Xenopus tropicalis: one gene and its partner. The protein of the gene in region 2 purifies or fractionates together with the protein of the main gene of each other region. This does not show direct contact. Links are inferred from orthologs where the notes say so. Each region holds a gene or a part of one and is shown on either strand. Other genes may lie near its edges.

Region 1 (4,305 bases), on a different chromosome or scaffold from region 2:
GCCATACCCTCCCTGACCTATGCTGCCTGTGTGTGCCATACTCTGCCTTCCCTATGCTGCCTGTGTGTGCCATACTCTGCCTGCCCTACCCTTCCTGTGTGTGCCATACCCTCCCTGACCTATGCTGGCTGTATGTGCCATACTCTGCCTGCCCTACCCTTCCTGTGTGTGCCATACCCTCCCTGACCTATGCTGCCTGTGTGTGCCATACTCTGCCTTCCCTATGCTGCCTGTGTGTGCCATACTCTGCCTGCCCTACCCTTCCTGTGTGTGCCATACCCTCCCTGACCTATGCTGGCTGTATGTGCCATACTCTGCCTTCCCTATGCTGCCTGTGTGTGCCATACTCTGCCTGCCCTACCCTTCCTGTGTGTGCCATACCCTCCCTGCCCTATGCTGCCTGTGTGTGCCATACCCTCCTTGCCCTATGCTGGCTGTATGTGCCATACTCTGCCTACAGTACCATGTCTGAGGTGTGAAGAAGTGAACAATGGGAGTGACTACAGTCTGAGCCTGAGGTGTGAACACTGCAGGGGTTGAACAATGCAGAGATTAAAAGGTGTGAACAACACAGGGGATTACATGTTTAAACAATACAGGGGGATTACAGCCTGAATCTGAGGTGAGAACCATGCAGGGGGGCCAGTTAATCACAGTACTGATACCATTTAAATCTTACACAAAGGTAAGCCATCAAAGCAGCCAGACAGGTGGGGGGCCACACAGATGGGGGTCGTGGGCCGCCAGTTGGACAGCACTGAGCTAATGGAATGGCCCAAACAAGCTATTGCAGGCCAGCAGTAAAGTTACACTACTTTACATGATATTACACAGGCAAAAGCCAACACTCTGGAGCTCATTTATTAACGCCGATTGCAGAATGCAAAAATCAGCACACTTTAAAAAAAAAAAAAAATGCAAAATTCCTTCCCACAATTCAGAGCATAATTGCAAAACTGCGCGCCAGACGCTGTAAAGGCATACATCGGCACCGGGTAGTAAAATGCGCCCAAGTGGGCAAGTTACCCCTGTGAGATACAGAGCAGCACATGGGTAGACATTAACAATTCTATAAGCGCATTATTCTTAGGAGTCCAGCAGTCATAAACAAACCTTTGTAACGCAACGCTAGCGCAAACACCACATAAAAACGCAAAACTTGTAAATGTACTAAATGAATGAATCCGTTTCCCTATGGGTCCCCTTCCCCGACTCCAACTAATAACAAACCCAAGGGATGCCCTTCCCGCCTAAGTCCTTCCTCCTCGGCCAATCACAACTTGAAGGCACTCTTGATTGACTGCATTGGGGGCGTGGTTTTTAGTAGCTCTCTGGGCGTGGGCTGCCCACATTGTTCCTGAGCGGTGAATGCAGCAGCTGCATAGAGAGCAACGCCCAAGCCGCCCATTCATCTGCTCCCTGCTGCTCTGCTTGTATGTGCTCAGCTCACATAGCGGCACCGGGCAGCGCCACACATTGCCTGCTGAAAGATCTGTTGCTCTTCGCAAAAATTGCGCCTTTTGCCCTAATGCTTGATCTAGGTATTATGTTCTATGCGAGGGAGAGCAGCTGACTTTAATGTGGGGGGGATCACCTGCTACAGTCCTGCGGTAAGTAGCTGCGATCGCTGGGCGTTCCTGATTGGGTCTTTGGTTTCCTGTTGCAGGGGCTGCAGAAATGATTTTCCTATTTATTCTTATATATACAAACGGGGGTGGGATATTGTAATAGTTGAAGCTGGGTTTTTGTTTCAGTTTTGCTATGCTGTTTGCTGTATTAGAGAAGGAAAGTTGCCAACACTATTTATGGGAACTTTAATTGGGGCAAATAACTGTGGTGCTAGCCCTTTTCCCTTCCCAGCTGCAGTCTTGTAAATCAACCCACTTGTTAGTATGGTTCTGCCGCCCCCTGCGGAGTAATGAGTTGATGATGTTATTGATTGATGTGATTCTGGGCTTACCAAGCTGTGACCCTGTTGTTGAACTACAGCTGGGTGCCAGCACCCTCCCAATAGGTTTAGGTTGAACATCTCTGAGGTATGTGCTAAAGCAACATTTTTCCTCCAAGGGGATTTTTTAAATCTGGGGTCCCAGGGCTAATTCCGTGCCATCTCTGTCATGCCCTAATACAGTGGATGTTTAGTAGTGCCAGCCCAGGATAGGACATTAACATTGGAATTTAGGCTGGTGCCTATTGCCATACTTTGCCCAGTCTGCCGTTATATGGGCAGGAATTGAAATGATGGGAAGGCTATTATGACTGGTACATTCCTTGTTCTATTAATAAAAGGAAATCTGATTGTGAGCTCTTGCACCAAGATAATCACTGTCAGGACTGTGGTAAAAGAGGAATTTTGACCAATGCACTCATCTCAGGGAGAACATGGGAATCAATTACATATTAGAATGATGTCGAAAGCAGAATTCTAAGACAATTTGCCATTGATCTTCATTTTTATTTTTTTTTTTTGTGGTTTTTGAATCATTTACATTATTTTCTGCAGCTCTTGACTGCTATCTGGTTTCTAGGCATTAATCACCCTAGCAACCAGTTTTGAAGCCAACATGGATTAGGAGAGGACCTGAAAAGAAAAATAAGCAATAACATATAAGAATCACAATAACATTCAGCTTCACCAATTACTGAAGGGACCCCCCCAGACCCCTGCAACACAGCACAGCCCTGTTGGGTATGGGATGTTGCTCTCTCATTGTCCTTGGCTGACCCTGGCTACTTGCCTGTAACAAACCTCCTCTGAGCTCTATTGATGCTACCAAGGAGCCTATGCTGGAACGATATGTCACAGGCTGAAATATTGATGGGATGACGATAATGCAATTAAGGAGAATTTGCTTTTTGAGGTCTCTCTAGGCTTTCCAGTGTTTTGTTCATATTGCTATGGGGGAGGGTCTTATGTCAATAACAGAGCAGTTCTCTAAGGTTTCTGCTGCCGCATCTCTTGCTGTGTGATGTCATGTACCTACCTGTTGGCTGCTGATTCATTGCTGTGCCTCCCGGTACATTGCAGAGCCACAGCGTAGAGCAATAGAAAAGCAAACTGGGATATTTCCAATATTACCAATATTAGTGCACTGGGCGGGACCCAAGGCCAGCAGCTGCATGGGGATTCAGAGAAAAGAGTAAGAGGCAGCAAGCAGGCCCAGCCCCAGAGAAACTTCCACACCTGAGAGTCACCAGTCATATGGTAAAAAAATCAGAAATATTGTGGCTACAGGTAGGAAGATTGTCTGTGGTTTTTAAGTTATATGTGAATGTATCTGCTATTTAGCCAGTAATTTCCAGACTAACTTCTGCTACATTGTTTCAGGAGTCAGAACCAGAATTGCAGTGAATGTAAACAGCCAGTCAGATGCTGCTTTTTAAATTTACAAACAATTGAACATGTTTAATGTGTATTGGAAAGATGTGTTACTGCATATTCTCTTTCATTATTCAAAAAAAGCACTTTCTGGTTAGACTTTATGTATTAAGCTAAATTCACATTATGATACATCTGCCCCCTAGTTTTTTTTTTTTTTTTTTTCAGCAGGATTTGGATATTACTTGTGTGCCATATTACTTGTATGAACTGTTTCCTACACCACTCCCTTTAGGCTCACAGTGTAATGAAACACTTCCCTTAAAATCCCTCTGCTTATCATAGTGGGAGTTTCACAGATAGTGGGTGGTTCACAGATTCTCTTGAAAGCAGAGGGACGTCAAGTCCCAGAAATCCATCACTTCAGTGATTTAAGTGGAACAAGGTGATGGTGGGGTGAGATCTGCTGAATGTAAAGTGAAATTATAAAAAAAACATAAAAAATGAGGACCAACTGCAAATTTTCTTTCTTAGTATAATTTACAGGGTAATATTCAAAGTTAATTTAAAGGTGAACTATCCCTCTACTGCCCGCTCATGGGCTGATTATTTTTTATTATACTCTTTGCTGATTGGTTGGATATTGTACCATGTGGCTACACAAACAAATGGCAACTGCACTGATTCACAATCGCCCCCCCCCCCATCCCCAATCCCACAATCTTTGGAAGGGCCCGGCGCAGAGTAGAAAACCCACCCGGATACCATAACTGTACCAGTTCATTTCTTATTTTAGCCAATGGCTGTTGGTTTCCATATCAGAATACTTCACTGTTGAGCAGGACCCTCTTTATACCTAATGCATCATTCAGTTTTTGTATGCTTAACATGTATATCCTTCTGTTGTACAACACTATTGCATATGTTGGCGCTTTATATGTATGTGTACATAATGATTTTCTAGATTGACTTCAAGCTTAAGTACC
Region 2 (4,198 bases):
AGCTCCAACCCGGCCCAAGGAAAGTCTCCCATAGGGCTCAATGGCACTCTGCAGCTCCAACCTGGCCCAAGGAAAGCCTCCCATAGGGCTCAATGGCACTCTGCAGCTCCAACCCGGCCCAAGGAAAGTCTCCCATAGGGATCAATGGCACTCTGCAGCTCCAACCCGGCCCAAGGAAAGTCTCCCATAGGGCTCAATGGCACTCTGCAGCTCCAACCCGGCCCAAGGAAAGTCTCCCATAGGGCTCAATGGCACTCTGCAGCTCCAACCCGGCCCAAGGAAAGTCTCCCATAGGGCTCAATGGCACTCTGCAACTCCAACCCGGCCCAAGGAAAGTCTCCCATAGGGCTCAATGGCACTCTGCAGCTCCAACCCGGCCCAAGGAAAGTCTCCCATAGGGCTCAATGGCACTCTGCAGCTCCAACCCGGCCCAAGGAAAGTCTCCCATAGGGCTCAATGGCACTCTGCAGCTCCAACCTGGCCAAAAGACAGTCATGATACTAAAGCTTCAATGAATTCCGAAATGGTTGTAGTCATTGCAAAAAATACTACTTTTTTGTGCAAATTTACGCAAAATGGAAAAAAGTTGCATCATTTTAACTATATTATCGCGGTCATTATGAAAAGTTCTAAACTTTAGAAAAAATACAAATTTTTCGCAGTCGTGATTATCGTGCTTTAATGAATGGGCCCCAAAATGTACACTCTCGCCAGATCAGCCACAGTCCAACAGAATGAAATAATAATCAGTTGAACCCAACCCCGGAGCTGACACACATGCCAAGATAGTCAGGCCATATGATTGAAAATAGGAAAACGCACAGGCAGGTATAGCTAATCTATGGCCAAATTCATACTATTTTATGACATGTTCCAGTTTGCTTTGGTAATAACATCAGCACTGATGATTTCATACACACAGCAGAACAATAGCAGCCATCCGGCAGCCTCAACTCGAACGTTCTTGTGTAACAGAAACCAGACTTCACAAACAACGGGAAAACGTACAATATATTAAAACTGGTGTGAGATAGGAAAGTAAATTATAAGAATGCTAAACCAAAAAACCACACAATCCCAATTCTTTCCCACCCCCACCTTTTTTTTTTTTTTTTTTTTGTTTAAGGCAGACTGCCAAATAGACACGCATACAGCACAAATTACACCCGTCCCTCCAATTCTAAGGACAGCGGCTAAACATAAATAGGGAACTATACGCCGCTCTGAGTACCGCCCCTTTAACCTACGCAGCCAATGACAAAACGCTGTGCTTAATCACATCCTACTCAGATAGCGGGCGAGGCGCTTAGCAACAGTGGGCGTGGTACTGCGAACAGTCGCTGACGTCAGCGAGTCTATATAAAGCCCGCTCTCCAGCGTGGTGTCCCCTTTTAGGCTTAGTGGAAGTTACCTCCCGGTAGCCCTTCGGTGCTCACCATGGCAACCCTCACATCTCTCCGCTTTCTGTGCTGCGCTGTAAGAGCCCAGGTCCGAGCGATCCACTGTACCCCTTGCAGGTAAGTGCGAGTCCCTGCTAGTGACCTTGCCTTATTCAAACTGGTCCTACCCCTGTCGGGACCCCCCCTCATTAGCCGGATAAGATGAGCCCGCCCGCCAAACCAACAAAGGCAGCAGCCTAGTCCGTTCTATGTCAGTGCCAATACTCCTTCTCCGTTGGTGAAGCGGTCTGTCACATCTGTCATATTATGGAGGGGAGGAGTAGCTTATTAGAGCAAGAGGCTGCCAGCTGGGAACCATGCTCATTTAATGCCCTTAAATCTTAAACGAAATAGCATAGACCGTATTGGAAATACAATTCCCAGCGTTCTCTGCGACTGCTGTAAGAGTTTTATAATGTAGGAAGTAGTGTGACCTTAGAGTTAACTTATGCTTTCGTGAAATGCTTTGTTGTTAGTGTTCTATCCACATAATGGCTTTATACAGTGACATGAATGCAGTGTGGGCATTGGCTAGCCCTATAGCCTTAATATGATGGTAGGATGCTTGTAGCCATGGGAGCTGTGTGTATTGGCAGGGACAGGAAGTGAAGCCTGGCTGATGAAATCCCTTTTGCTGGTTGCACTGGCTTTGCCTTCCCTCCCCCCGCTCTCTGATGCCCCGCCCACCTTAAAGTTGAAGCTCAGTGTCTCCCCTGCCATTGAATGTGTATTTCTATATCCACAAACTTGATTTTCGTGAAACATAATTGCTTTTCCATCTGTCCAGGGGGTACCCCAACACTGAATCACACTGGGACACGGACATTTGCCATTATGTAGCTTTGTAATAATTTGTTTTTAATGAAAATGATCAGTGTGTGGTAAGCCCTTGATAACTATTAATCACAATTCATTTAAACAGCACTTCCATAGTGTGCATTTGTGTGTAAGCAAAGGAACCAGCAGTGGGAACGGATAGCACGTTGGTATGATTGTGGCAGAATGATGTTGGTTAGTTCTGGAGGCATGGGAGCAGCTAGTGAGTTAGGAGGAATAATGGCAATGATGAGAGAAGACGTGGGTAACAACTGTGTGGGAACTTACGCTGGGGAAAGTGTCTGGGTTTTGAGGGGATTTAAAATCTTTATTGGAGGGCTGCACTAAAGGAGATGGGAAAGTTGGTCGGGGAGGGATACAAAGGCTGGCAGAGTGCTGGATAATATGCTTTTGTATTATATAGAAGGGACAGGCTGCCACAGAATGCTTCCTTTTTATATTTTATTCTAAATTTGTATATTGCGTAACATTGTCATGTATGGAATAGCTAGGCTGCTAAAGAGCGGCTGAGCTTCACCTACTGTTCCAACTACTAATGTCACTTTTTCCGCTGTGGGGAGTGTCCTGGCCAAAACATTACATAAAGGAAACTGTACATACAGCCAGCCTTTATGTAATGGTGCTCAGTAGGTGTGAGTGGTTTATTCTGCCGACACGCACAACTTTAGGGGCCGCGTTACTTCATCAGCCATTTACTTGTTATGACTACAAAACTCGGCACATGTGATGCAGTTCTAATGACATATAGCCATGTGGGGGTGGAGTGGGGGGTAAATGCACAGTGAGGATGTAAGGATGGAAGTACAGGTATGGGATCCATCATCTGGAAGCCCAGGGGGTGCGGGGGGGGGGGGGGAGGGAGGAAGTGGAAGGAGCTTAGACTTTGTTGAAGTGTTGGTGAAACCTCTGCCCTGTTGGTAGAGGGGTGGGGGTCATCTTTTAGCTAAAGTGTTATCTGGTCTGGTAATACATATTTTTTGAGGGTTAGGGTACAATTATTAACACATAATTATAAAGTACTTACTACTCAAAGTTGTACAATAAATAGGTTTATACATTGAACATACTGATTATGTATTAAAAAAGTGACCAATACAAGAGCTAAAGGGGGCAGAAAGTACTTACAATCGGGAGGGAAACACCTACCTACTTACCTTGAAGACTGACAGCAGTTTGGAACCAACAGTTTTTTTCAGGGGGTAGTAATAGGCAGTGTTAGTGACAGTGCCATGTAGGCATAGCCTAAAGCTAATTTCAGAAGGGGTATGTTGACCACAGCTGCTTTCAGGCAGAAAACAGCAGTGGTTAAAACCCCCTCTTTATTTCTATATATAAAATTATAGGAATGTTATGATTTAAGTACATGTTGTGGTGAGCACAGAAATGCTTAAGCAAATCGAAGTGCCCTGTCCGTTAATTCCTTAAGCCGGCAATTGGTATGAAACAAAGTTCTGTACAATGTTCAGTTTGTGTATGGTGGGGCAACAACCTCATCCTGTTGTGTCATACCATGGATAACAGTTGTGTCTGATGGACATGTTGGGAAAGGTCCCCTGCTGATGCACAATATCTGCCAGTGTTTGGGCAGATGAGGAACAGATCGTTTGACTGTCGGCCCCAGAGGACAAAAAAAAAAGTTGGTCATACGGTATATGGGCAGTTGGACGGTATCCATTCCAAACAGTATCGACCAGTGTATCTTACTGCAATCAAAGTAGCCATATCAGTTGTAAAGTTCAATTTGTCTATTTGTGCAGCTGGTCTTGTATAAATAACAGTTGTTTACTCTGTGTTCATAGAATAGTTGTCTCTTCTCTAAGGTAATGATTAATCGGGTAATTGTTTCTGGTTCTTCTTCTGTTCAATTTTATTATTTTAGAGACAAGAATCTAGTTTTAATTCTTGATATTGGAAGCTGGTCT

Evidence for each region.
Region 1: the proteins of mthfd2 (region 2) and hras purify together in Homo sapiens (co-immunoprecipitation; 4 studies listed by BioGRID and IntAct, with this or other methods). This does not show direct contact. The link is inferred for Xenopus tropicalis from reciprocal best matches to the Homo sapiens genes MTHFD2 and HRAS.

What each region holds. Positions count from the first base shown.
Region 1 is NC_030680.2:34,323,700-34,328,004, reverse strand, and holds the start of hras (GTPase HRas), read left to right. Parts: upstream 1-1,498; 5' UTR 1,499-1,610; intron 1,611-4,305. UniProt on the Homo sapiens protein: Involved in the activation of Ras protein signal transduction. Ras proteins bind GDP/GTP and possess intrinsic GTPase activity.
Region 2 is NC_030679.2:121,283,968-121,288,165, forward strand, and holds the start of mthfd2 (bifunctional methylenetetrahydrofolate dehydrogenase/cyclohydrolase, mitochondrial precursor), read left to right. Parts: upstream 1-1,388; 5' UTR 1,389-1,437; coding exon 1,438-1,517; intron 1,518-4,198. UniProt on the Homo sapiens protein: Although its dehydrogenase activity is NAD-specific, it can also utilize NADP at a reduced efficiency.